Stegostoma tigrinum: one gene and its partners. The protein of the gene in region 2 purifies or fractionates together with the protein of the main gene of each other region. This does not show direct contact. Links are inferred from orthologs where the notes say so. Each region holds a gene or a part of one and is shown on either strand. Other genes may lie near its edges.

Evidence for each region.
Region 1: the proteins of cdk9 (region 2) and immt purify together in Homo sapiens (affinity purification with mass spectrometry; 3 studies listed by BioGRID, with this or other methods). This does not show direct contact. The link is inferred for Stegostoma tigrinum from reciprocal best matches to the Homo sapiens genes CDK9 and IMMT.
Region 3: the proteins of cdk9 (region 2) and paf1 purify together in Homo sapiens (affinity purification with western blotting; 3 studies listed by BioGRID and IntAct, with this or other methods). This does not show direct contact. The link is inferred for Stegostoma tigrinum from reciprocal best matches to the Homo sapiens genes CDK9 and PAF1.
Region 4: the proteins of cdk9 (region 2) and 7SK snRNA methylphosphate capping enzyme-like purify together in Homo sapiens (affinity purification with mass spectrometry; 10 studies listed by BioGRID and IntAct, counting the BioPlex papers as one, with this or other methods). This does not show direct contact. The link is inferred for Stegostoma tigrinum from reciprocal best matches to the Homo sapiens genes CDK9 and MEPCE.

Annotation. Positions count from the first base shown.
Region 1 is NC_081354.1:168,485,797-168,492,956, forward strand, and holds the start of immt (MICOS complex subunit MIC60), read right to left. Parts: upstream 3,033-7,160; 5' UTR 2,841-3,032; coding exon 2,802-2,840; intron 1-2,801. UniProt on the Homo sapiens protein: Component of the MICOS complex, a large protein complex of the mitochondrial inner membrane that plays crucial roles in the maintenance of crista junctions, inner membrane architecture, and formation of contact sites to the outer membrane.
Region 2 is NC_081382.1:34,259,269-34,267,274, reverse strand, and holds the start of cdk9 (cyclin-dependent kinase 9), read left to right. Parts: upstream 1-4,878; 5' UTR 4,879-4,894; coding exon 4,895-5,037; intron 5,038-7,891; exon of another isoform or gene 7,892-8,006. UniProt on the Homo sapiens protein: Protein kinase involved in the regulation of transcription.
Region 3 is NC_081392.1:4,125,756-4,133,098, reverse strand, and holds the start of paf1 (RNA polymerase II-associated factor 1 homolog), read left to right. Parts: upstream 1-4,214; 5' UTR 4,215-4,268; coding exon 4,269-4,312; intron 4,313-7,343. UniProt on the Homo sapiens protein: Component of the PAF1 complex (PAF1C) which has multiple functions during transcription by RNA polymerase II and is implicated in regulation of development and maintenance of embryonic stem cell pluripotency.
Region 4 is NC_081398.1:9,416,780-9,423,821, reverse strand, and holds the start of 7SK snRNA methylphosphate capping enzyme-like, read left to right. Parts: upstream 1-3,873; 5' UTR 3,874-4,153; coding exon 4,154-5,608; intron 5,609-7,042. UniProt on the Homo sapiens protein: S-adenosyl-L-methionine-dependent methyltransferase that adds a methylphosphate cap at the 5'-end of 7SK snRNA (7SK RNA), leading to stabilize it.

The DNA of each region.
Region 1 (7,160 bases), on a different chromosome or scaffold from region 2:
CTGGGACAACACCAAAATCCTGGGACAAGCTAAGCAGAGACAGGCAGGGGAATTCCTGGAAGCCTGGTACTCCACGAAGAAAGCCATCAATAAACACACAGAACTCGACCCCATATACACTCCACTACGAAAGCAAACCGAAAGTGAGGCAATCCAGCTCAACCGACTCCAGAGTTTAAAAACCAAGTGGGACAAACACACCAGGCGCTTCATCGGGGGCTGCACTGATGGTGTTACCCAGCAGGGTAATGAAACATCTTTGGAACAACGAACCAGCTCGGCAAGCCAGCCAACCACAATACCGGATTCACAACGCCCATCAGAAATTCCTCCGCATTTTTATTAAATGGGTGATCCTTCACTGAAATTTTGCCCTCCGGTTGTAGACTCTTGCAAAATGGGAAACAACCTTGCAGTATCTATGTTGTCACGTCTTCTAAGAATCTCACAGACTTTCACAGGTTGCACAAAGCTTCAAATGTGTCAGCCAACACCGCATGCTCCTCCTCCAAGGACACCCAGGCACAGTCGTAATTACGGAAGACAGACAAAGACAGATGGTACAAACAACTAATGTTGTAATTAATTAATGCTCTGAAAAATATCTACATCCACTTGATAGAACTAAGAACTATACAAAGTAAGTGTGATCATTTTGTATTGCAGATTCAAATTACAAATCCAAACCATGCAATGTACATGGCACCAACTGCAAAGTATGAAACATTATCAGCTTAAAAACTCAAGTCTATTTCTTCTCATTTCTGAAGAAAAGTCAACCCTGTTATGATCCTGCAATGTTAACATGTTAAAAAGTCAGATTCCAGAGGAAAATGTAGCTTGAGATCCTAACTTTGTTCTTTTTGTTTAGAAAGTGGAGGTCCAGCACTGAACACTTTCACAAGTGTACATTTAACAAGGGAGTAACAAACCATACAACACTAAATAACATTCCACAAAAGTTTCAGTAACATCAAAATTACTCTGCATTTACAATATTCTTTTTATTCCAGCAATGGCAAATCTCAAAGATTCACCACCATCTCCATGCTTGACTGCTTGTGCAAACTGGCACAACTGCAACCTGTTTCCTTCTGGTAAATTCCAGGGCATTCTGTTGATGCTTTTCTGCAGATAGTATCCCTACCGAAACACCTAAATAAATTGTAAACTAAATACTATCTACAGAAATTGGAGTTTCTGTAAACTCAGTTGTCAGCAGTGCTGCAGGATTGCTTACTAGAGTATTTAATATTCCTGTTTCCAATTTCTACCACAACCTGAAACCTTATTGCTGGAGGACAATTTTTGTCTTTTTTTTAAAACAAATGCATTGAACAACCAATCCCCCATCTGTTCACTGTAAAGATTGTAAAACCACATCACAAATGGATGTATAGAAAAAGGCTGCCAAATTTCCAGGTACAAAGCCCACAAAACCCTCACAATGAAACTAAAACTTCCTATCAAAAAATACAAAATATAAATTAAACTTGAAGTGATAGTTTGTTCCTCACATCCTGAAAACTTAACCGTACCTCCACAGACCTGTTGCGTTTTCCCAGCCTTTGCCGTTTTCAGGCCAATTGCATTTGCAGTATTTTACTTTAGGAACATTACTTACATGGTTACTTATGTAGACCATTTATGACTATTGTTTTAATCAACATTGTTGGACATGTTATGACACAATGCTGTGCCAAGTACTACTTGAACTCAAACTTTCTGGCCCAGAAGTAGAGGCACTACCACCACACCACAACAGCCCTTATTGAAAATCCCATCGATCACCAGGCATATTCAATTTACTCTGGCCCATTAGGCAAAAGTCAACTTCACAATTAGACTAATGTTACACTGATGGTACATTATTATCATTTTTTCTCTGCTGCACATAAGAGAATTACATTAAGAACAACAGTGATAAGGCTAAACATTGTGGAAGGAGGGAAACAATGTAAATACCTTTAAACAAAAGCTTTACCGAAGCCATGTGCTGATTTGACTTGTCCTACACATAATATTTTCAATGTAGGTCTCAGTCTTCAATTCACAAAAGAAATAGCTTTCAAAGAAAATACCATTACTCTGAAATATATTCAGTAGATTTCCAAACTCTTTGAAGAATGCTTTGGCATTCTGAGATCCGTGATTTCACATATTAAACTAATATATTGCAGTACATGGGAAATCAGGAACTGAAAAGTCTTAAAACAAAATGGGCTCATGCTTTTTCCTGGTCACTATACAAGACGTTACTATATTCATGGACAAGGTCACGTCGTTTTCTCTGTAAAAATCAGATAACATTTAAGAGTCTCGCGTTCCTCTTCGTCACCAGATTAAGGGGGTGGGAAGAGAATAAAAGACGTACGACAGCAAATGCGTCTTTAATTTAAGCGATAAATAAAGTCTGGCTTTTCCTCTTTTTTCCCCATCAAGAAACCTGCATTTCCCACTCGTGTCATGGTTGCTCAACCGAGCTTGATTTCTCCCCGGGCCACCACCCGCCTTTTCATTGCTGATTGGCCGGTAGTCTGTAACTCCTCTGCCGATTGGTGCAAACTCACGTCAATCGCCACCTCACCCGGACAACTGAGGTAGGTTGAACTAACGGCCTGATTCTAGCTCCTCTCCCCACACCCCAAAACCAGCCCGTTTCTCTCTGTGGTCAATGGTTCACCGTCGAACGGAAGCGGTGAACCTAGGCAAGGCCACTCTAGAGACAGCAACAAAAGGAAATATCTTCTGTCAGGCCTGTTTAATGTCAGAATCGGTCCGTCTCGCCCGGTCTTTCCTACCTTCAGCGGCGGAGCTACTTTCCATGAAGCCCTCAACATTTTCCCTTAAACTCTTCGATGGTTTTATGTTCTTCGATGAAGAAAAGTACTCCGCTGTACCGGATCAGAACATTTTTTTTTACAAAAAACATAGACAATTAGAGACTAATGTGCAGCCCAACACCTTACTCCCTCGCTGTGAGGCGGGAGTGACCGTGTTGACCGCTTTCCGTACGATCGAGGCTGCGCCACACCAACGCGCACGCGCCCGCCCCCGCTGCTCTGTCTAACTTGGTCTTGGCGTCGTGCACAACCAACCTTGATAGCTGCTGAAGGCACTTTCTCTTTCAGGGCTCTTGTGGTGCAGTGCTAGTATCTCGACCTCGGAGCGAGTAAGCCCGAGTTCAAGTTACACTTTCTCAAGGAAGATGTATATCTTTCTCTCTCTAACCCTTCAATCTGACGAGTGATTTGCCCATTGAGAATCATCATCCACTTACCCTCCCCTCATACAGTGCACTCTGGGATGCTATCTACCTCCACGAAAACCCCTAGGGATAATTTTATAGCACAGAAATAAAGCCATAAGACCCAGAAGAAGTAGGCCTTTGAGCTCATCAAGTTTCTCTGCTGATCAGATAATCCTCAATTCCACTTTCCTGCTTTATCCTCATAACCCTTGATTCCGTTGCTGATGAAAATTTATCTCAGCCACGAATACATTTAATAACCCAGTCGTAATAGCCCTCTGTGGTACTTAATTTTTCAGATTCTGTACTAAATCTGTCCCTTTGGCATGCATTCCAATGCCACCTCACTCGAAGAGCCATATCCATTCAATCCCAATGCTCTGACAATTTTTCCCTACCCCTTTTAAGATTATTCCAGCACTTATCCACGTGTGCTTAGTAAGTTTTGATAAATTCCGCTTCACCCTTGCTTCTCACATCCAGGGAAATAAAATAAATGATGCTCAGACTAATGGATAAGGGCTGGATGCTGGTAAGATCAGTATGGGTTGCTTCTGACCACCTCCTCAAAGGCAACTAGGGATGGTCAGTAAATGCTAGCCCACCAGTGAACCCAACATCCCATAGATGAATATAGAACAAAAAAATGAAAAGAACTGAGGAACCCTAAAGGAACTAAAGCTACAATAGGTGTCATATATAGATCACTTGATAGCAGCTCAGAAGTGCTAGATTGTATAAATATTCAAATTTGGCAACTATGTAGCAAAGGCAGAGTAGTATTAGTGTGGGACTTTGATCAAGATAGACTGGGAGAGACAGACAAGCACCTGCCAGAAAGGTTGTGAATTTCGAGATAGTTTTGAGATAGTATCCTATGTCAATATGTCTTGGATGCAACAATGGAACAAACAATATTGAATCTAGTAACAAGAAATGAGTCTCATTTAATTAGTGGCCTGGTTGTTCGTGAGCATTTGCCAAATAGTGATCATAACACATTTGAGTTTCATGTAGTGTTTGTAAGAGATAAGCAAAGATTGGATACTAGAATTTTGGATTTACATAAGATAGATTTTAAAGGGATGTGGCAGAGACTATCCACAGTGAAGTGGGAAGTTCTGTTACTACGTAAAACAGCCAAAGAACAGAGGAAGGCATTCAAAGAAACATTTACTGCAATTCAGAAGCAATTTATATGCGTATAAAGGAAAAGCTACACCTCATTAAAAAAAACACAACCATGGACAGTTAAGGAGGTAAGGAGCAACATAAAATTAAAAGGGGCTTATAAAAACACATAGAAAGTACAGATTCCACAGAATTGGACAAATATAAAGACCAAAAAAGGCCCACAAAGCAGCTTATAAGAGCACGCTAGACCAGAGGGCAGTTAAGAGGGCATCACATTGTTCTGGGTCAGGAGTCATATTTAAGCAGATAAGGACAACAGTTTCAGAGATAATGGGAACTGCAGATGCTGGAGAATTCCAAGATAATAAAATGTGAGGCTGGATGAACACAGCAGGCCAAGCAGCATCTCAGGATGCTGCTTGGCCTGCTGTGTTCATCCAGCCTCACATTTTATTATCAAGGACAACAGTTTCCTTCCTTTAAGGGCATCTAGATGAGTTTTTCCTGTCAAGTAACAATGGTTTCATAGCCATCATTAAAATCTTAATGCCAGTTTTGCTTTTTATTGAATTCAATTCCACAATTTGCTGTGATAAGGTGTGAACCCAGGTCCCTGAACATTACTTGTGTCTCTGGATTAATAGTTTGGTGATTATACCACTACACTATTGTCTCCCCCACCTTCACAACAAAACACAAAAATGACCAGGAGCTTCCAATTGCCTGCCACTTTAATACACCACCATGTTCCCATACCAACATTTCTGTATCAGGCCTGTGGCAGTGCTCCAGCAAAGCTCAACACTTGAGGAATAACACCTCAGCTCTGCTAAGGCACCCTACATCAAGTTGAACAGTTTTGGAACCTGAACACCCCCTTTCTTGTCTATTACCTATTTTCAAACCCCAGGTCCTGTCTTGAAATATGTTGGCTGTGCTGAAAGCAACCTATTTTCAATTATTCATTGCCTATAAAGTGATTTGTCATACATACAGGCCCTTCAGTCCAACCTGGCTATACTAAACATCAAAACTCAAACTACACTAATCCCATTTACTTGCACTCAGTTCCTACTATGCCCTGGCATTTAAGAACTCACCCCGATGCTTCTTAAATGTTGTGTGCCACCATCCTCTGAGGCAGCATGTTCCATATTTCTAGCATCCTCTGGGTGAAAAAAATTCTCAGATCTCTCCTAAGCTGTTTACTTCTTGCCATAAACATGTGCCTCCTGTATTAGACATGTCTGCTATGTGGAAGATATTCTCATGATCACCTCCATCAATACCTGTCATTGGAGGTACGATGTTGTGGCCATTACAGATACATGGATAACACAAGGGCAGGAATGGCTGTTGGATGTTCCGGGGTTTAGATGTTGCAAAAGAAATAGGGATGGAGATAAAAGAGGTTGGGGTGTGGCATTGCTAATCAAGTATGGTATCACAGCTGCAGAAAGGGAGATCATCGAAGAGGGTTTGTCTACTGAGTCAGTATGGGTGAAAATCAGAAACAGGAAAGAAGCAGTCACTTTATTGGGAGTTTTCGATAGACACCCCAATAGCAACAGAGACACTGAGGAACAGATTGAGAGGCAGATTTTGGAAAGGTGCAGAAGTAAGAGGGATGTTGTCATGGGTGACTTCAACTTCCCTAATATCAACTGGAACCTCCAAGTGCAAATGGTTTAGATGGAGCAGACTTTGTCAGGTGTGTCCAGGAAGGATTTCTGACTCCATATGTAGATAGGCCAACTAGAGGGGAGGCTATTTTGGATTTATTGCTTGGCAACAAACCAAGCTAGGTGTCAAATCTCTCGGTGGAAGAGCATTTCAGTGATAGTGATCACAACTCCCTGACCTTTACTATAGTCATGGAGAGGGACAGGAGCAGACGGTATGGGAAAGTATTTAATTGGGAGAAGGGGAATTACAATGCTATTAGGCAAGAACTGTGGAGCATAAATTGGGAACAGATGTTCTCAGGGAAATACACAACAGAAATGTGGAGGTTGTTTAGGGAGCAGTTGCTACAGGTACTGGAGAGGTTTGTCCCACTGAGGCAAGGAAAGGAGGGCAAGACATGTGGAACATCTAGTCAAGAAGAAGAAAGAAGCTTACTTAACGTTGAGAAATCAAGGATCAGACAGGGCTCTAGAGGTTTACAAGGTAGCCAGGAAGGAACTGAAGAATGGACTTAGGACAGCTAGAACAGGGTATGAAAAAGCTTTTGTGGATAGGATTAAGGAAAACCCCAAGGCATTCTATACTTATGTGAGGAACAAGAGGATGGCCAAAGGGACAGTGGAGGGAACTTGTGCATGGAGTCAGAGGAGGTAGGGGAGGTCCTTAATGAATATTTTGCTTCAGTATTCACCAGTGAGAGGGACCTTGTAGTTTGTGATGCCAGCACGAAATAAGCTGATATGCTTGGACAGGTTGATGTTAGGAAGGAGGATGTGCTAGAAATTTTGAAAAATATGAGGATAGATAAGTCCCCTGGGCCTGATGGTACATACCAAAGGTTGATATGGGAAGCGAGGGAAGAGATTGCTGTGCTTTTGGCAATGATCTTTTCGTCCTCACTGTCTACTGGAGTACTACCAGATGATTGGAGGGTGGCAAATGTTATTCCCTTGTTCAAGAAAGGGAATAGAGATAATCCTGGGAATTACGGATGAGTCAGTCCTACTTCTGTGATGGGCAAATTATTGGAGAGGATTCTGAGAGATAGAATTTATGATCATTTGGAAAAGCACAGTTTTGATTAGAAATA
Region 2 (8,006 bases):
CTTTGTTTACTCTGGGAGCATCTGCAAAGCCAGTTCCACATTTCCCAATGAGTATATTTATGGAAATAACAGCCCCACACACTGTTACATTTCTTGTCAGCAAACCCTCTAAAAATTATGACGAATAGAGTTTTGCATCTTTGTCAATGTGAATGATGCTTAAAAGAAGCCTTGCCTGGAGTATTAACCTTGTTTCTAAGTATATTTTATGTTGGCAGCATTATTTATTGCTTGTATCCCTGGCTGCCCTGAGCTTGGTCCAGCTGAAAGGTTTATAAAATCACTTCAGAAGGTTGTTTAAGAGTAATTGCAAATTCAGCACAGGTAGTAAAAAGGAATAAGAATGGCAGGATTTTTTTTCCTTAAAGTGAGTCAGTGAATAGGTCTCTTGACCAGGATCCCATTAACAAAGCTTCCATTGAACCCATGTCCAAAGGTGGTGGTGTAAAACCCCACGCTGGAATGTTAGCACGCAGTCTCGGATGAAAATCCAGTGCAATACCTTTGCATTTCTTTTCATCGTGCATGGGAAATGTTTCAAAGTGTACCTCAGTATAGAGGTGTTGTTATAATGTTGCACTGTCTTTCCTTGAAATTCTTTGACTTGCACATCCAACAGTAGTCACTAAGTTATGGTCATAACCTCAGGGTTGGTTTAATAATATCCAGGTGAAATATCACCAGCAGCAGGTTTGGTCTATGTCCCTTTAATTACTTCATAGTCCTTTGTGGATTGGATCTGAATCTGCACATTTATCAGAGACAGCTGCAAAGTAAGAATCATTCCTTATTTTCCTTTCTACCCTATGGAATTCCCTGTATGCTATTGATCCATTTCTTTACTGTCATCTTCTAAATTATTTTTAACAGATATGTTGGACATGTTAGGAAGTACCGCTACAGCAGGTTGGACTGACCTTCTGTACCACCAGACTCCGGAACATTCCTGTTCAGTTTTGTACCAGGGACATTTCATGTGTAGGGTGAATGTGGTAATCACTAAGGTGCAGAAACAGTGATTGTTTTCATCTTCTGTACTGATTGATCATCTTGCCGTCCAATAGGGGGCAAGTGGACCTAGTAGAAAGCCCTGATAGACTCTCCCTAGTGCCTGGATCCTGGGTGCATTATGCTGCTTGCCAGAAAGGCCTTAAATGCTTTCTTGAACCTCTTCACTGACATATAAACTCTCCCCATGCCCTATTTCAGGATCAGGACTGTTTTTCTTATCTGCAAAGTGCCAACATGAATGATACTTAAAAGAAGCCTGGCCTGTAAACTTAAGGGGCAGCTCCTCAATTTCTGGTTTCACATCTTGGTCATATTCCTTGTCTTTGATGGGCAGATTGAAAGGGAGATCAGAGGTGTGTGGAAAGAAATGATGAGCCAGGGTAAAATGGGTCAAGATTGGACTGCTATGACTTTTCTTGCCGTTGTTAGACCCAATTCATGCTTGGTTGAGCATGGAATTTGATTACATGTTTTGATTGTCTATTGATTTACCTTATACCTTCTGTAACTTGGGGCCACTGAGGGACATGATTCATCCATAACATGATAACCTCACCACTCCACTGTTTATGAAAATTTATCCTCATTCGATCAAATCATGGGATGTTTATGATACACAAAGAGGCCATTTGGCTTGTTGTGTCTGAGCAGTCTATCTGCAAGAGCAGATCATAGAGTGTCAATAATCCCACCTATGACAACTTTTGCTCTACAATTTGGTATACATTTTTTTACTCATTTTTCATATAATGATCCAATTATCTTTTGAAAGGCAGATTAAATCATGTCTTCAGCACAGTCTCAAGCGCAATTCTAGATCCTAACCATTCACTGTGTGGGGAAAAGATTTTCCTTACATCTCATTGCTTCTTTTGCCAATCTCCTGAAAGCTTTTTTTTTCCTGTTTCTGGACCCTAATGGGAACAGTTACACTTAATTGATTCTGCCCTGACATCTCGAGATTTTAAACATTTCTACCATATTTCTCAATCTTCTCTTCTCTAAGGAGAAAAACTTGGCCCCTTCACTTTATCCACGTAACCAAAGTTCCTCATCCCTGGAACCATTTTCAGGAGTTTTTTTTTGCATCATCTCTTAAGTCTTTCAAGTGTTAAAACTTAAAGAGGAAGGTATAGAGGAATGTGACTAATTCAGCAGCTCCAAAAAGATTGTCACATCCTCCCTGAAGGTTTGTGTAAACAAATAGACTGCTATTCCAACTGAGGCCAAAAGCTAGTGTTTCATAAATGCTCATCACCATTTTGATCACCTTTCTCAAACTGCTTCAACACCCTCAACAACTTGTGCACATATGTCACTGGTCTCTTAGTTCCTTCAGTCATACTCAATTCTATTCTTTATTTTATGTTGCCTGCTCTTGTCTTTTCTACCAAAATACATCACATTGCACTTCTTTGCATCAAATTACACCTGTGATATATCTACTCATTCCCCACACCGACCTGGTTGTGTGCTTCTGGAGTTGAGTGCTATCCTCCTCACAATTCACAATATTTCCAAATACTGAGTTGTCCACAAATGTTGAAATTGTGTTCCACACACCAAAACCTGAGTGAGTAATATATATCAGGAATAGAAAGATCTTGAACATGAGGTAAAATTCAGGCATTGAAATGCCTTGAAATATTTCCTTATATTAACATTTCTGAGTAAAAAAAAGTTGAGTTTGGGGATATGTTAGTGTTGGTTCAGATCCAAAATAGCTCAAAATGGGAATTAATTCAGGAAATTCCAAAGATGTCCCATTATCTAACTGTAGTCATAGAGTCATACAGCACAGGAATAGATTCTTCAGTCCAACCATAATCCCCAACTAAACTAGTCCCATCTGCCAATGCTTGGCCCATCTCCCTCCAAGTATTTCTTATTCACGTACTTACCTGAGTGACCTTTAAATGTTGTAACTGTACACACATTTACCACTTCCTTTCGAAGTTCAGGGGAGGCAGTGTGGATCTTGCAGATGCTCCTGGGATTGCAGACATAATCAAAGATTTATTATAGTTTTTCTTACAGTTATTACAGTCATGATATTTTACTAGTATAAGATGTTTTATTCATTCTGTTTTATTAGAGTACAAAAAAGCCAAAAAACAAACAAATAAAATTGTGATTTTCTTTTCAAATGCACTGTTTTTAAACAAGCTTTTCTACAGTGAACAGCTGAGGTATTTTTAATTCTAAATTCAGAAATTTAAAAAAGACTATATGTGTTTTAGCGGGTGTTTTCTTTTACATTGCAGAAGTCTTTTCTTGAAAAACCAAGCAGATTTTTTTAAAAGCAAGGAGTTGTGTTTTTGTTTTGGTGAGTCCTACATATGGTTGGCTCTAGAGAAGACTTTTCTTTTCCTTTGAGCAATTTATTGAAGAGGAGTTTTTTTTATTCAGTTAATCAGCTAAATGGTTGATTTCATTTAAGTTTTATCTGTTTGTTTTTTTTCATTTTAACATTATTTTCTGGAGGTAATGAAAGATGTTTTATTTTCAGTATAAGGTGTTTCTGAAAATTCTTTTAGGCATAGTGTTATTAAGGCCTTATGTAAGGTACAGAGTGAGGTGGCTGGCAGAGTTAGAAAGGCTTTTACATGGCAGGATCTGTCAGATAGATGGGTGACTTGGGAAAGGTAAGGTAGTTTAAAAGTCTCTGGTGACTATTCCTCTATCAAATAGATATTTAGCTTTTGGAACTGTAAAAGGGGATAGTCTCACCAAGGAAGATGGAAGGGGCAGTAAGTTGTTGGGGACTTGGAATAATCCTTATGTTAGGCAACGCTTTACAAGATTTAATAGGATTATTGTAATAGAGGACTCTGCTGTCAGGGACATAGACAGGAGATTCTGTGGCAGTGAGCATAACTATAGGATGGTTTGTTGCTTTCCTTGTGCTAGGATTAAGAACAACTCCAAACATTTCAAGCCTATTAAAGGTGAGATTGAGAAGCCATAAATTATTGTACACATTGGTAGGAATGACATTTTTAGAGACAAGATTAAAGCAGTACAGAGTGAATTTAAGAGGTTAGGTAGAAGATTTTAAAAAAAGAACCTTAAAAATAGCAATTTCTGGTTTACTCTCAATGCCAAACTTAAACAAGCGAAGCAACAAAAGGCTAAGGCAATAAATCAATAACTGAAAAGCTGGTGTATTGTCCAGGGATTCAGGTTTTTGGACAATTGGAATGTCATTTAGGATAGAAAAGACCTGTTGAAAAAGAATGAGTCTAACCTGAACTGGACAGTGACCAATATCTTAACAGGGAGATTTGCTCATTCCATTAAGGGAGACTTAAGGGAGTGGAGGAATTCTAAATAGCAGCGTAAATAGAAAGATTGACAGCGAAGGTTCTGAATGCGAAGAGACCATGTCAATTAGAAAAGAGAGAATCATAGTATGTAGTAACCCTGAAAAACTAAATTGCACTTATTTCATTGAAAGGCATCTTATGGGTAAGGCTGATGAACTCAGGGCATATTTAAGAACATGAGACAGGGATATCAAAGCTACTTCTGAAACTTGGCTGAGAGATGGACAAGGCTTGGCAGCTCAATGTTCTGTGAATTAACTGAACCAAATGGTTGTAGAAACATGAAAAAGTGTAAGAAAAATGACAATGAGTCATTCTCCCTAAAATTGAGCTTTATATTTGCTGATTTCAAAATATGCATGAGAAGACAATGAAGTAGGAGTTTTCTAGGACACTGCGGGTGAACTCCGCTCCCTATTGGAACTGCTACCAGCTGCTTTTGTGGCTGGGTCGAGACAGAACGGTTGCAGCTGCACTCCCGGCCGATTGGTGCCGCTGTCTGTAGCGGATGTCGGCTACATCACAGCGTGCCGCACAGCCGGCCGCCCCGGAAGTAGATGATGGCGAGGTGCCCGGATGGTGGGATGAGTGTCAGGCTCAGCGCCGACATGATTAAACATTATGAAGCGCTGGATTTCCAGTTCTGCGACGAGGTCGGGAAGTACGAGAAGCTGGCGAAGATCGGGCAGGGCACTTTCGGGTGAGTCCGGTTTGGGAACGGGTGGGGGGAAGGGGCAAGGGAGCGCGGGGCCTGAGGACTGAGGACTGAGGACTGGATGGTAGAGAAGAAGAGGAAAGAGAGAGCGACTGGTTGGGGGAATGGGAGAGAGAATGTACAGGACTTTAGGGAAGGAAATCTGTCTTTATCTGGTCTCGCCTATATGTGAGTAATTCATTCTAACCTTATCTTCAAATGGAATCAACAAATCAAATTCGCAAAAGTGATCTGAGCTTGTTGAATGTTTTCATGACAGCCTCCTGGAAGAATATGTTGTGGAACGGAAGAGAGCATAGTTACTTGTAAATCTACGATTGTGCTTTGAGGCGGGGTTAATGAGTGGTCTCATAGTGAGAGATCCACTGTTAAGAAGATTAACTGAACTCGTCCTTACCGCTAACAACTTCTCCTTCAACTCTTCTCACTTCCTACAGACTAAGGGTATGGCCATGGGAACCCGCATGGGCCCAAGCCAGGCCCGCCTCTTCGTAAGATACGTGAGAGAGCCCCTCTTCCACAGCTACACTGGCACGAGCCCTCACCTCTTCCTCCACTACATCAGTGACTGTATCAGCACTGCTCTGAGCTCCCACAAGGAGCATGAACAGTTCATCAACTTTACAAACACCTTTCAACCCGACTTCAAGTTCAATCATAGAAGCCCTTCAGTGTGGAAACAGGCCCTTCGGCCCAACAAGTCCACACTGACCCTTGGACCATCCCCCCCCTACCCCCCACTACCCCCCCACTACCCCCCCACTACCCCCCCACTACCCCACTACCCCTACCACCCACACATCCCTGAACACTACAGGCAATTTAGCATGGACAGTTCACCTAGCCTGCACATCTTTGGGCTTTGGGAGGAAACCGATGCACATTCTCTCCGTATCTGCAAACTCCACGCAGACAGTTGCCCGACGCTGGAATTGAACCTGGGTCCCTGGCGCTGTGAGGCTGCAGTGCTCACCCCTGAACCACCATGCTGCCCTTGTTCACCTGGACCTCTGTCTCCATTTCCTATGACCACCTCGAAACTGATATCTATTTCAAGCCCACCGACTCCCACAGCTACTTAGACTACACCTCCTCTCACCCACCTTCCTGCGAGAATGCAATCCCCTGCTCCCAATTTCTCTGTCTCTGCTGTGTCTGCTCCCAAGGTTCCACTCCCAAACATCCCAGACATCCCCTTGTTTCAAGGACTGCAACGCTTCTTCTCCCCACCCCCAAGTGGTCGAAAATGCTGTTGAATACATCTTTTGTGTTTCCTGCAACTCAGCTGTCATATCCCCTCCCTGCAACAAAAACAAAGACAGAATCCCCCTTGTCCTCATGTATCATCCCATTAAACCTCCAGATTTAACGTGTCATTCTCCGCCACTTCCACCACCTGCAATCTGACCCCACAACCAAGGATATATTTCCCTCACCACCCCTATCTGCCTTCCGTAGGGACCACTCTGTCCGTGATTCCCTCATCTGCTCCACACTCCCAACTAGGTCCACCACCCCCAGCTCGTTTCCCTGCAAACGTAGGAAGTGCTACACCTACTCCCTCACCTCCATCCAAGGAACCAAAGAAAACTTTCACATAAGATCGAGGCTCACCTGCATATCCGCCAACATGGTCTACTGCATCCGCTGCAGCTTCCTCTGCATTGGTGAGACCGAGCAGAGGCTCGGAGACCACTTTGTAGAACACCTGTGCTCTGCTCACGACAAACGATACCACCTTTCAGTTTCAGCTCCCACTCCCACTCCATAGATGACATGTCCATTTTGGACCTCCTCCAGTATCACAGTGACACCACCCGGAAACTGGAAGACCCGCACCTCATATTCTGCCTTGGGAGCCTACAACCGAATGGCCTAAATCTGGACTTTTACTAGTTTCAAAGTCTCCCCACCCACTGCCTCATCCCACCTTCAACCCGCCTTATTGACCTGACACAATCTGTCCATCTTCTCTCCCATCTACCTGCTCCTCCTGCTACCCCCTACCTGATCTCACCTATCATATCCCGTCTACCTTCCCAGCACCCCCCCATCTCTATTTATTTCTGAGCTCCCTTCCTCTTCCCCCATTTCTGAAGAAAGGTCCTGACTCGAAACGTGAACTTTCCTGCCCGACCTGCTGTGCTTGTCCAGCTCTACATTGTCCTATCTCTGACTCTAGCATTGGCTGTTCTTACTATCGCTGTTAAAATGTGCTCATCATACACTTAATTTTCATATTAAAATTTAGCATGATATCTCAAAATAAGGATATTAAACAGGGCCAGTTTAGAAGATGAGCTGACTAGGGTTGATTGGGTGGACTAAAAGCTTTGGTAGTAAATGACTAGTGGGAAATCTTTATATAAAATCATTTAAAATTTTTGACAAAAATACTTTCTACCAAAAATAGAAACAAGGCTAGAAAGATCCACTTGCCACTTACTGGGGAAATGAGGATGGTAATAAATAAAAGAAGCCTTTAAGATTGCAAAAGATTGTTCTAATTGATTGTTTCAGAAACCAGAGAAAATCAGCAAATAAGTTGATAGAAGAAAAAGTAGCTTAGGAATAAACTAGTTGGGAATATAAAGACAGATTTTGACAGCATTTACAATTATATCAACAGGAGATCAGTGTTATGATCCCAGCTAATGGAGATAAAGTAGAATGTTCCAAGCCATCTACCTACAGTGCAAATTCAAAGATCTTTAGTCACAATAAAGTATTATCCCTTTAATACTAAACACAAAAATAAAAAAGAAACAAAACTGCTTTTGTATAGTACCCAAAATGCACTTCTGATATCGTCCCAAGTGGCTGCTCGCACAATACTTACTAGAGTGTCTGAATGCTTTTTAGGTTGATCTGTGGTGGCCGATGATGAAACTTGAACTCATTGAAGAGATATTAAATTGTTGATCCTATTGCCTTTTCAGGTATCAGCTGACATA
Region 3 (7,343 bases), on a different chromosome or scaffold from region 2:
CAGTCCTAAAAGTTAAATCTATCTGCTTCTTGGAAACATTCAATGCTTTGGCCTCAACAGCTTTTTGTGGCAGAGAATTCCACAGGCTCGACATCTCAGTCCTAAATAGCCTACTCCATATCCTTAGATTGTGACCCTGGTCTCCCCAGGAACATCCTCCCTGCATTTATCCTGTCTAGTCCTGGTAGAATGTTAGGGGTTTCTATGAGATCCCTCACACTATTTTTCTAAATTCCAGTGAATATAGCCCTAATCAATCCGATCTCTCTTTATACGTAGGTATGAGGCAGTAATGGGTCTTGACAATTCACCTCCCACTATCTGGCTAGCTAACACTGAACCATTAGGGAGATGAAAGATGTTCTTCCATATTGAGAGGCAGTACTACAGGGGACCTAACAAGGAAGTCAAAGGAGTCTGTCAGGACAAGCCAGGGTTTACATTTGATATGGATGTAAATTAATCTTCTCCCACCACCCTTAGCACTTAGGTTCCAGAAAATAGGCCCAGGTGAAAGCAAAAATGCAATATATGTTTGAAAACCGTCTAACCAAACTCAGGGAGGATGGCTGGCATTCCCCAGTTGTATTCATGCCCGAGCTTGTTGGATCAACTGGATTTTACATAGATGCAGAAAGGTCAATGCAGTGCCTTATACCCAATTCCTGATCTGGAACATTGTACTGATAGAATCGGCAGTGGAGGATTATTTACCAAAACAGTTCTGCTCCACTAATACTGGGATATCCCATTAACACCAAGAAGTAAAGGTACGTAGGCCTTGACACCCAGCCTTTTCCTTTGTCGAGAGGTGCTACAGGAACGATAGAAAGGGGGGTAAGAGAGGAAGCGAAGTAGCGTTTTTGATTAGGGATAACATTATGGCTGTACTAAGGAAGGATATTCCTGGAAATATATCCAGGGAGGTTATTTGGGTGAACTGAGAAATAAGAAAGGAATGAACACCTTGCTGGGATTGTACTATAGACCCCCACCCCCCCAACAGTCAGCAGGAAATTGAGAAACAAATTTTTAGGGAGGTCTCAGTTATCTGTAAGAATAACAGGGTGGTTATGGTAGGGGATTATAACTTTCCAAACATAGACTGGGACTGCCATAGTGTTAGAGAAGTTGCAAAACTTGACCTACTCTTGGGAAATAAGGCAGGGCAGGACAGGGGTGTCAGTGGGGGAGCACTTTGGGGATAATGGCCATAATTCTACTAGTTTTAAATTGTGATGGAAAAGGATAGACTGGATCTAAAAGTTCTGAACTGGAGGGAGGTTAATTTTGACTCTTTTGGCAAGAACTTTCAAAAGTTAATTAGGGGCAGATATTCGCAGGAAAAGGGATGGCTGGAAAATGGGAAGCCTTCAAAAATGAGATAACAAGAGTCCAAAGACAGTGTGTTCCTGCTAGAGTGAAGGGCAAGGCAGGTAGGTGTAGGGAATGGCTGGATGACCAGAGAAATTCAGGTTGTGGTCAAAAAGAAAATGGAATCCTATGTCAGATATAGACAGCAGGGATTGAGTGAATCCTTAGAAGAGTTTAAAGGCAGTGGAAGGGAAATCAGGAGGGTGAAAAGGAGACATGAGTTAGCTTTGGCAAATAGGGTTAAGGAGAATCCAAAGGGATTCTACAAATACATTAAGGAACAGCGAGTAACTAGGGAAAGAAGAGGGCCCCTTAACGATCAGCAAAGCCACCTATGTGTGGAACTGCAGGAGATTGGGGGGAATACTAAATGTGTATTTTGCATCAGTGGATGTCTTAAAATGCATATAGGTGGATAAATCCCCAGGATGTGATCAGATGTACCTTAGAACCCTGTGGGAAGCTCAGAATACAGGGAGAACTAGCCATTTGGATATAGAACTGGCTTGAAGGTAGAAGACAGAGGGTAGGTGGTCGAAGATTGCCTTTCAAGATAACAAAGTGTAGAGCTGGATGAACACAGCAGGCCAAGCAGCATCTTAGGAGCACAAAAGCTGACGTTTCAGGCCTAGACCCTTAATCAGAAAAGGGGGATAGGGAGAGATGCTGCTTGGCCTGCTGTCTTCATCCAGCTCCACACTTTGTTATCTCGGATTCTCCAGCATCTGCAGTTCCCATTATCTCTGAAGATTGCCTTTCAGACTGGAGGCCTGTGACCAGCAGTGTGACACAAGGATCGGTGCTGGGTCCACTGCTTTTTGTCACTTGTATAAATGATTTGGATGTGAACATAGGAGGTATGGTTAGTTTACAGATGACACCAAAGTTGGAGGTGTATTGAACACCAAAGGAGGTTACCTCTGAGTGCAAGGGGACCTTGATCAGGTGGGCCAATGGGCCGAGGAGTGTCACGTGAAGTTTAATTTAGATAAATGTGAGGTGCAGCTTTTGGACAAACAAATCGGGGCAGGACTTATACACTTAATGGTAAGGTCCTGGGTAGTGTTGCTGAACAAAGAGACCCTGGAATGCAGGTTCATAGTTCCTTGAAAGTTGAGTCGGAGGTAGACAGGGTAGTGAAGAAGGGGTTTGGTGTGCTTGCCTTTATTGGTCAGTGCATTGAGTATAGGAGTTAGGATGTCATGTTTTGGCTGTACAGAACATTGGTTGAGGAACTGCAGATGCTGGAGAATCTGAGATAACAAGGTGTAGAGCTGGATGAACACAGCAGGCCAAGCAGCATCAGAGGAGCAGGAAGGTTGACATTTCATTTTCTGAAGAAGGGTCTAGGCCCGAAACACCAGCTTTCCTGCTCCTCTGATGCTGCTTGGCCTGTTGTATTCATCCAGCTCCACACCTTGTTATCTCAGGACATTGGTTGGGCCACTTTTGGAATACTGCTTGCAATTTTGGTCTCCCTGCTATAGGAAGGATGTTGTAAAGCTTGAAAGGGTGCAGAAAAGATTTACAAGGATGTTCCCAGAGTTGGAGGGTTTGTGCTATAGGAAGAGATTGAATGAGCTGAGGCAATTTTCACAGGAGCATCGGGGCTGAGAGGTGACCTTATAGAGGTTTATAAAATCATGAGGTGCATGGATAGGGTACATGGACAAGGTCTTTTCCCTGATGTTGGGGGGGTCTAAAACTAAAGGGCATAGGTTTAACATGACAGGTGAATGATTTAAAGGCACCTAAGGAGCAACATTTTCAAGCAGAGGATGATGCGTATATGGAACAAGCTGCCAGAGGAAGTGGTGGAGGCTGGTACAATTACAACATTTAAAAAGCATTTGAATGGGTATATGAATAGGAAGGGTTTCGAGTGATATGGGCCAAATGCTGGCAAATGGGGTTAGATTCTTTTCAGATATCTGGTTGGCATGGTCGAGAGGGACAGAAGGGTCTCTTTCCATGCTGAACATCTCCATGACTCTGTGACTCTGAGTGGTAGGCAGTGTTCCTAACTGTGTGGCTTACCTTGATGAAGTCCTGCTACACAATGACATTTGGAAAGACTACTTGGAATAACTAGAACCTCTATTTAGAAAATTAGAGGTTGATTTGATGATGAACCTTGATAAAGTGAATTTGCAAAAAATGTAAGTAACTTACATGGGCATATGGCAGGGCAATGACAAATGCTGTCACAAACAGCAAAAGTACACATGTTGGAATGGTTCCATGTCCCTAAGACTAATTGGAAATTCAAGAGGTTTTATGGGGATATGTAGTTTCTACCATGAGATTGTATAAAATTTCAACACTATAGTAGCTCTACTGATGGATTTGTTGAAAAACCAAGAAAAAATACAATCAGTTGGTCAGAGGAGTGCCAAACACCTTTTGAGAGGCTGGAAACAATTCTGATCAATGAGCCATTGAACTGACTACTAAGCTGTTCAGTGCCGGGAGAGGGTGGGGGTTAGTGCCTAGGGAGTAGGGGATGTTGCCCAGACAGGGTGGAGGTCAGTGCCTGGCGAGTAGGGGACAGTGCACGGAGGGAGTGGGGCTCAGTGCCTGGAGAGGGTGGGGGTTAGTGCCTAGGGAGTAGGGGATGTTGCCCAGACAGGGTGGAGGTCAGTGCCTAGGGAGTAGGGGACAGTGCCGCAGAGAGTGCCGTCAGTGCCCGGAGAAGGTGGGGTCAGTGCAATGAGTGGGTGGGGTTTAGTGCCTGGGAGGGCCAGCGTCAGCGTCTCGGGGCGGGGTTAGAGCGGTGAGGGGTGGGATCAGCTTGGACGAGCCTGCCGCAGTGGTCTGTGGGTACGGCGTGGAGCGTTGTGGGAGCTGTAGTCCTAGGCCTCCTGATCCCAGCATTCACAGCGCGGCGTGCGGCCATGGCGCCGACAATCCAGAACGCGCAGCGGGACGACGGGCACCGGTAAGTCAGGTGAAGGAGGGCACGGAGAGAATCGTGTTGCATTTATATAAAAGTATAAACTGTTACTTTCGTGATCGCAGATGCCTATTCCTTAAACTCAGTTTTCTCATTTTCGGCTTTGGTCTCAGCCCGATCAACAGATCAACAAGCGGGCACCCACTGGGTCCTAGTGCCCGTTCAGCCTTACGGCGACTGAGCACCAAAGAGAGAGCACCCATTGGGTCCTAGTGCCCCCTGAGACTTCTGGCTAGTGGACCATCAAAAGGGAGCACGCTGGGTCCTAGTGCTCTCCCTGTTTCCTAGGCAACTGATCACCAAGAGGGAAATAAAAACAGAAGTTGTTGGAAAAGCTCAGCAGGTCTGGCAGCATCTGTGAAGAAAAAATCAGAGTAAATGTTTCAGGTTTCGTGACCCTTCCTCAGAAGTCCCAAGAGGGAAATCACTGGGTCATAGTGGATATCCGGTAAGATGCTTCTGAGACCACCAACAGATAAATTAATTTCGAAGGTTTTGGGGTAGATTTGTAGCTCGGGTTGTCGGTATTGAGGTTGGTTGGCTCGCCAAGCTGGTTTCTTGTTTTGCAGACGTTTTGTTACCATGCTGGATAACTTCCTCAGTGCAGCCTCCAATGAAGCATCGGTGTGCACTGACACAACTCAATCCACATGGACGAGGAGAACCATCATTTTGACTGAGATTGCTCCAAGACCCTGGGACAAGCCAGGCAGAGACAGGCATGAGAATTCCTAGAAACCTGGCACTCTACGAAGTGTGCTATTAATAACCATATTGAACTCAACCCCATATACATTCCACTGGAAAGGAAAACCGGAAGCAAGGCAATCCATCTCAATGGACTCCAGAGTTTAAAAACCAGGTGGGAAGTCGACGTTTTTGTCAGAGGCTGCACTGAGGATGATACACAACATGGTAATGAAACAGAGATAATGGGAACTGCAGATGCTGGAGAATCCAAGATAACAAAGTGTGGAGCTGGATGAACACAGCAGGCCAAGCAGCATCTTAGGAGCACAAAAGCTGACATTTCCGGCCTAGACCCTTCATCAGAAAAGGTGGATGGTGAGAGGATTCTGAAATAAATAGGGAGAGAGGAGGACGCGGACCGAAGATGGATAGAGGAGAAGATAGGTGTAGAGTATAGGTGGGGAGGTAGGGAGGGTACAGGCCAGTCCGGGGAGGACAGACAAGTCAAGGGAACGGGATAAGGTTAGTAGGTAGGAAATGGAGGTGCGGCTTGAGGTGGGAGGAGGGGATAGGTGAGATGAAGAACAGGTTAGGGAGGCGGGAATGAGTTGGGCTGGTTTTGGGATGTACTGGCGTGAGGGGGCATTTTGAAGCAGATGAAATCGACATTGATACCATTGGGCTGCAGGGTTCCCAAGCAGAATGAGTTGCTGTTCCTGCAACCTACGGGTGGCATCAGGATGGGCATGTCGTCTGAGGAATGGGAGGGGGGGAAGTTGAAATGGTTCGCGACTGGGAGGTGTAGTTGTTTATTGCGCACCGAGCGTAAGTGTTCTGCAAAGCGGTCCCCAATGTAGAGGAAGCCACATCAGGTACAGCAGATGCAGTAGACCACATTGGTGGATGTGCTGGTGAACATCTGCTTGATATGGAAAGTCGTCTTGGGGCCTGGGATGGGGGTGAGGGAGGAGGTGTAGGGCAAGTGTATCACTTCCTGCGGTTGCAGGGGAAAGTGCCTGGTGTGGTGGGGTTGGAGGGGAGTGTGGAGCAGACAAGGGAGTCGCGGAGAGAGTGGTCTCTCCGGAAGGCAGACAAGGGTGGGGATGGAAAAATGTCTTGGGTGGTGGGGTTGGATTGTAGATGGCGGAAGTATCGGCGGATGATGCGTTGTATCCGGAGGTTGGTGGGATGGTATGTGAGGACTAGGAGGATTCACTTTTGGTGGTTCTTGCAGGGGTGGGGTGTGAGGGATGTGTTGTGGGAAATGCGGGAGACATGGTCGAGAGCGTTGTCAACCACTGCGGGGGGGAAGTTGCAGACCTTGAAGAAAAAGGACATCTGGGATGTACGGGAGTGGAATATCTCCGACCATCTCCAACACATCCCTCACCTTCCTGGACCTCTCTGTCTCCATCTCAGGCAAACACCTACAAACCGATATCCATTTCAAGCCCACTGACTCCCACAGCTACCTGGAATACACCACCTCCCATCCACCTTCCTGCAAAAATTCCATCCCCTATTCCCAATTCCTTTGCCTCCACTGCCTCTGCTGCCAGGATGAGGCATTCCACTCACATACATCCCAGATGTCCTAGTTCTTCAAAGATCGCAACTTCCCCCCACAGTGGTTGACAACGCTCTCGACCATGTCTCCTGCATTTCCCGCAAGTCATCCCTCACACCCCACCCCTGCAATAACCACCAAAAGACAATGCCCCTAGTCCTCACATACCATCCCACCAACCTCCGAATACAACACATCATCCTTCGATACTTACGCCATCTACAATCCAACCCCACCACTAAAGACATTTTTCCAACCCCACCCTTGTCTGCCTTCCGGAGAGACCACTCTCTCCGCGACTCCCTTGTCTGCTCCTCACTTCCCTCCAACCCCACCACGCCCGGCACATTCCCCTGCAACCGCAGGAAGTGCTACACCTGCCCCCACACCTCCTCCCTCACCCCCATCCCAGGCCCCAAGATGACCTTCCACATCAAGCAGATGTTCACCTGCACATCTGCCAGTGTGGTATACTGCATCCGCTGTACCCGGTGTGGCTCCCTCTACATTGGGGAAATCAACGGAGGCTTGGGGACCACTTTGCAGAACACCTATGCTCGGTTCACAATAAACAACTGTACCTCCCAGTCGCGAACCATTTCAACTCCGCCTCCCATTCCTCAGACGACATGCCCATCCTGGGCCTCCTGCAGTGCCATAATGATGCCACCCGTAGATTGCAGGAACAGCAACTCATATTCTGCTTGGGAACCCTGCAGCCCAATGGTGTCAATGTGGATTTCACCAGCTTCAAAATCT
Region 4 (7,042 bases), on a different chromosome or scaffold from region 2:
ACTTGGTTTTACACCGTCTCTAGTGGCAGGAGCATCGGAAACCGGCGCGGGGTGGGGGGGGGGCAGATATTTGGAAATAATTACCAAAGAAATTAAGGACAATAGGTGAGAAAATTCCTTCTTTTTATGCAAGCAAATTGTTGTGATCTGGAACGCATTGCCAGAAAAGGAAATAGAGAAGATTCAATACTTTTGTCCATGGTGTCTACCATCACCTTTAACTCTCGAGGTGAGAGCAAGGAGTCAGCTCCTAAATCTACTTGATCTAAACTGGGAATCAATCTAAACCATGCGCTAAAAATCTAGCCAATTTAGCTAAACAGCCCCCGCAGTGGTTTTGTTACTGAATTTATAAGATATATAGAATCCCTATGGTGTGGAAGCAGGCCATTTGGCCCATCACGTCCACACCGACCCTTCAAAGAGCATACCACCCAGACCCAGCCTATTCCTATAACAGGCAGCTCCGTGGTTAGCACTGCTGCCTCACAGTGCCGGGCTCCTGGGCTCAATTCCACGCTCGGGTGGCCGTCTATGTGGAGTTTAGACATTTTCCCCATGTCTGTGTGTGTCCTCCGGGTGCCCTGGTTTCCTCTCACAGTCCAAATATGTGCAGGCTAAGTGGATTTAAAACATAGAACATAGAAAAGTACAGCACAGTACATTTGCCAGGGAAAATTGTCCATAGTGTTGAGGGATGTGTAGATTAGTTGGATTAAAGGAGGATGGGCCTAGGTAGGATCCTCTGAGAATCGGTGTGGACTTGTTGGCATGAAGGGCCTGTTTCCGCATTCTAGGGATTCTATAAAAAATGTGCATTTCCCATGGCGAACCCACCTCGACCACACTCAACACTCTGGACACTATGGGCAACTTAGCATGGCCAATTCACCTTTGGATTGTGGGAGGAAACTGCAGCATCCAGAGGGAACCCATGCAGATACAGGAAAAACATGCAAACTCCACATAGACAGTCACCAGAGGGTGGAATTGAACCTGGGTCACTAATGCTGTGAGGCAGCAGTGCTAACCACAGAATCACCATGCCACCCCAATAATCTCACGACTCGATAAAATCCCACATGAAGAAATTCCAATTTAATCACTCGGGATTAAAATTAGTCACAGGCCGAGCATAAAACTGCTGAATGAAGGGCTCTTGTAGTGTGCATTGGTAGTGACCCCACCTCCAAGTTCAATTCCCAACTACTCCAGAGATTTGTCATAACATGTCTGAACAGGTTGATTAAAATAACCATAACTTTGGAACTCGTTAAAAAAACTCATCTCATTCACTAAGTACGATCACCACAGTGACTGCAAAGGTTTGACAAAGCAGTTTTCATAACCTTTCATGTTCTCAAGGGGATCAACAGACAGTCAGAGAATATTAGCTTTCTTTGTGTTGCCAATTTCCTGAGAAAGAATTTAAAGGAAAAGACTTGTATGTATATGGTACTCTTCACAGCTCATGGTACTTTGCAGCCAATTAAGTACATTAGTCTTTGCGTAATACAAGAAATAGTTTTAACCCATCACAAGTACCATCCAGAACAAATTGTATGAGAAATCCTCCAGCAGCAACTTCCCTCCAAGCTCCATACCACCGTGACTTGGAAATATGTTGTTGTTCCTTCACTGTCGCTGGGTCGAGAATGATATTCCCAGCCCCACATCACTGTCGATGTATCTACAATGTGTGGAGTGAATTTTTAATAAACTTTCAGGGGTGCATCTGAGGCCAGGTTTTGTTGCCCATCTCCAATTGGCCCCAAGTAGAGTGGCTTGATTGACCACTTCAAAGGGCAGTTAAAGAGTCAATCAGATGTTGTCGGCCTGGAGACAGTCAGGGAAGTTAGAGAAGATAAGATTTATACCCTATCTGTCATTGAGTTATACAGCATGGAAAGAGGCCCTTTGGCACATTGCATCTGGGATAATGATCAATCATCCATCTATTCAAATCCCATTTTCAAGCACTTGGACATGCTCATGCAAATAGTTCTTAAATATCTTGAGGGTTCCTGCCTCTACCACCCTGCCTCAGTGAGTTCCAGACATTCTCTACTGTCTAGGAGAAACTTTTATTCCCCAAATCCCTGCTGTGAGTTCCCTTCCAGCGGCCAGCTTTTAGAAACAGAGTAGTTCAGCCAGAGGCTGGGAAATAGACCCAATGTGGCTTTGTTTCTAGTAGGTGAATGCCCAGTGTTTGGAGGTGAGGAGTTTTGTGGGGGGTGGGGTGAGGAGACGGTTGGGGAGAAGGAAATGAGGGGAGATGGGAAGAGAGAGACGGAGGAGAAATGTGTAGGAAGGGGAGTTGGGGAGGATATGTGGGAGATAGGGATAAAGAGATAGAGGAAATAGGAAGAGGGAAGGGGGAAAGAGATGGTGGGATCAGAGATGGGGGTGGGGAGTGGGTAAGAGGAGTTAGAGATGGTGGGATGTGAGAGTTGTGGGAACACGGTTGGGGGTGGTCAGGTAGGTGGGATGTTGACGGGGAGAGACAGTGGGAGGATATTGGGGGCAAGGTTGAAAGATGGGCGGGGGGGACCGCAAGTAGGGGTTAAACGGGGACGGAGGGAGATGAAGGGGTGGGGAGAGGCGTGGAAGTGGAAGGAAACTACAACTCCCATCGGGCACCGCTTCGGGCCACTGTCACGTGATCGCCCCCAACGGATGTCGAGTCGAGCGCCAACCGACAAAAAGACGACGTGAGAGCCCCAGGGCGTCGAACGGAATTTTTTTCTCTAACGATTTCTTCCAACTTCCCCCCTCCACCCCCTCCCAGCAGCCGGCGGGCCTGGCTCTGAGGGTGTCCGCACCCCCGTGAAGTAAACGCCGAGCCTGTGAGACGGCCCCGGTTCCCGTTTGAGAAGTCGGGTTTGTTTTTCGCCGCGCGGAAGGAGGGAGGCGAGCCGCGGCCGGCGCCTGAATGATGGCGGGGAGGGGAAACAAAAACAACACTCCACATCGGGGACGGACGATTGAAAACCCCCGTACACACCATCAGCCCTCCCTCCCTCAGACGACGGCGGGGATTAACCTTGCGTCCCCGCCTTAACAGAACAAGCTTGAGGACTCTCCCTGTCTACTGGGGCTGGGAAACACGTCGAACCAAAACTCAGATGTTACATATTAATTATTATACCTTATTTCTGTTTTTTTAAAAAACAATCTATTTTTTTCCGTCGGTGAGGACGGACGCCTAGGCGGCCCTCCCCTCCCCCACAACCTCCGTGTCCCGCCTTCCAGCGGTTGTGGGGGGAGGGGCGGGGCTAAGGGTGGCTGAAGTCCCGCCCATCCCTTGTATCCGGATTGGCCGGGGCCGGGAAGAGGTTCGCCGCGCGACGCGCTCCCCTTCTGGCCGATTGGTGGGGACGGATGTCTATCAGCCGAGGGGCGGTCCAGCTTGGTTATAAAAGGAGACGCAAGCGCACTGTGAGGGGAGAAAGGGGGGGGAGGGGACAGGGAAAGGGAGAGAGAGGAAAAAAAATAGCGAGTGCGCCTTAGCAGCTCCAAGGGGTGGTGAGCGAGGAAAGGGGGGGGTTTTGAAAAAAAGTGATTTTAATTTTCTTTTAAATAAGTGGGTGGGGGGTGGAGTTCGAAGCGAAAGGGAAGAGGGGGGTGGTGGTGTGAAAAGCAACCGTGTGACTTCCACCGAATGAATAAGCACGGTTCGTCGCTTGCGGATATATTTCCGCTTTAAGTTCCACAAACTTGACAATCGAGGGCTTTAAAGTTGCCATTTTGGATTTTTCGGTCAGGTGGAGGATAGAAAGGACTGGGTTTAGCGGGGGAGGGGTAGAAGCGGGAGTCGATAAACAAAACCCGTGAAGGTTGGTGGTGAGGGGGTGTGGGGGGGAGGGGGTGAGTTGATTGTTCGCTAAGGTCCCAGAATATGAATAATTCATTTATGTTGATGAGACGCGCTGACGTCACGGGCGACGTGGGATTCCGTTAGAGTGCGTAACGGCGACGTCGTGCACTGGTTGCAACTTGGGTGGGGGGAGGGGGAAGGGCTGACTCAGCCCCTGGTGCTTGGGAAGTTGCTGCTGCACTGGGCAAACGGGGGCGCTATCACAGGAGAGAGAGCCAGGCCGACCCACACGCCAGCAACCACCCCCTGTGGCCAAGAGGCTCCCCATGCCGTCTGATGGCGGCGTCGGTCGAGGAAGATTCTGTCAGGGAGGTGACCCTCCTGAAGCCCGAGTACCTGTCTGCCATGGGGGTCGAGGAGCTACACCGCCACCCGGGCAGGGTGCTGACGCCCGTCAGTGAGGAGGTTGCCCTGTCCCCTGGTGCCAAAGATGAGGTTGACAGCGTGGCGGAGCTGAGCCGGCCAAGGAATGGGCTCCAGCCCTTGCAGCAGCAGAGGGCCTTCAAACGGAGGAATAGCTTGAACGTAGGCTTCAAGCACCCCGGGTTCAAGAGGAGGCGCCGCGTCAACTCAGACTGTGACCCGGTGCTGCCCAGCAATTTCCTGCTGGGCGGTAACATCTTTGACCCGCTCAACCTCAACAGCCTGCTGGACGAGGACGTCAACAAGGCTCTTAACGCTGAGACCCCCAAGTCCTCGCCTCTGCCCAGCCGGAACCGCGACCCGGTAGAGATCCTCATCCCCAAGGACATCACCGACCCGCTCAACCTCAACAATGACTCCGAGGTCCTGCCATCGCCCCTCAAGTTGGGCCGCAAGAGGCGACACCGTCATTACCACCACCAGCCTGGCCAGCAACCCCAGTCTGCCACCGCCACCGAATCAGCGGAGAGGAACCAAGTTCTCCCACTGGACCCAAGCTCCCGGGACTGCCTTGTGGGTCAGAACCCAGCAGGAACAAGCGTGGGGCCGGGGTCCTCCGAGGTGCCAACTGAGCCTGAGGGCCCCCAGCCCTACGAGCTCAACACCCTCATTAACTGCAGGGACGAGATTGTGTCACCTGTCCTCCGTGGCTCCGAGCAAGCCCCAACTGGAAGCCGGCATCGCAAGCGGCGCCGGACCGCCAGCAAGTCCGAGCTGGGCAAGATCCCGACCAGCTCGGAGGAAGAGCCGAGGCTGCCAGGTGCGGATGCCAAGAAGCCAATGCCAGAGAAGGCAAAAGGCAAGGCATCTCACCACCACCATCACCAACACCACCAGCAGCAACACAGCTTCCAGCGCCACTCTAGCCTGCACCGTGATGGCAAGGCCCAGCCCAACTTCCAGAGCAAACAGAAGCGGTTCCAGTATGGCAACTACACCAAGTACTACGGCTACCGTAACCCAGGCCGCTGTGAGGACCCCCGGCTCAGCTTCTTCAAGCCTGAGTGGTTCCAGGGCAAGGACATCTTGGACCTGGGCTGCAACGCGGGCCACCTGACGCTCAGCATCGCCAAAGACTTGAAGCCCTCGCGCATTGTGGGCATCGACATTGACGGTAGCCTCATCCACACGGCCCGACAGAACATCCGCCATTTCCTGTCGCAGGACATGCTGCCGTCGCAGGGCGATGGGCAGGTGAAGAGGCGCTTCCCGCTGTCGCTGACCAAGTGTAAGGGCCCAATCGCTGCCCCACCCGTGGCTGTGGATCGCTGTGTGGCTGAGTTCCCCAATAACGTCACTTTCATCCAGGTGAGTGCATCTGGTATGCTTTTTGTGGAGAAGGGAGTTTCACCTTGGCTACTAATCTTGTAAATTAAACATTTGGCGTTGCAAAAAAGTCCCAAATGACCCCTTGAACCAAACTCCATAGATTAGGGGCACTCAAACGCCATCCGGGGGGCACACCTTCAGTAGATGGCTGTTTACAACCTTAACAGTTGCTTTGTGTTTGTGGAAATGTAAAGATTTTTGGTGTTATCTTGACAATGCACGCATTCTTGAAGCACGCATTACTTTGCAAGTAGGACGTGTAAACAACTTCTTCCCCCCCCCCACCCCCGGCTGTGAATGTTAAGACATGAGAGCATTTCAGGTTTTGTAACCTTGCCCAGGGAGTGCTCCAAACGAAGAGGGCTTTTAAAAGTTTCTCATTCCTGTTGCAGAATGGCTCAGGGCCATTACATGCCTTCAGAACATTCAACTGAGTGTCTGTGAAACTGCGTTTGTGGGTTTTTGAGTCACTTTTAAAATGCTGCTTCTAGCAAAACGACGTTTAGCGTGAGTGTATGTTCCGCCTTTTATTTTAAGCTGACCCTATGTCTTATCAAGTTTTTGTGTCTGCAGCCAGCTGTTCAGCTTTACTAATTTGAAATGGTGGCTACACATGTCTTCTGTATGGTGTACTTGTTGAGTTTGGGGCTGTGGCCTATTCCTGTCCTGCTCTTTCCCCTCTGCGTGAGATTTCCTTGCACTGAAAATCCTGTCACTCGGCATGTTTCTGGTTTGCCCACGAGGAGGTGCCCCTTGTACTGAGCAATCGTTCGTTTCTTTGACTTATGATTTTCACTTCTGGGGTCGAATTGATGAACTTTTATGATTTCAAAACTAAACCCTCGACCACCACCACCCACCACCTGCACTCTCTTTTTTGGGAAAATGAAGTCAACGGATCGCGATAATGCGATTGATGCATTTTAATTTTGAAATTCCTGTTCCTAGTGCCTCCTGCAAACATTGATCTAACAAAGAACTGTAAAAGCCGCTGGAAGTGTGTAACAGATGCAGAAATGCTCAAGAAAATCCTACGGAATAGCATTACACTCTATTTGCAATCAGTTGGTCCAAATGATGAACATTTCTCTTCACATGCAGCGCACCTTTTATCAACCAGTGTCTATGGGACCAGGAGTGTGCTAGTTGATAAAATATTCTGGATAATCGAGAAGTCCACATAATCATTGTAGAAGCATCCACTAAGTAATGGAAACGTGATGCAGGGGGTGTGCATGTCACTGTGAGACTTTAATTACAGCATAAATCAATAATAATGATGCACCTTTGCCTTATAAATCTTAATGGCAGAGAGTCTTCTCACTTGCACCCTCAACTGACTACTCAAAGATCGTGAAAATACAATAAACTTAGTGTTTGAGGTATATAATTTATGCCAGTTTGTAAAGAGCT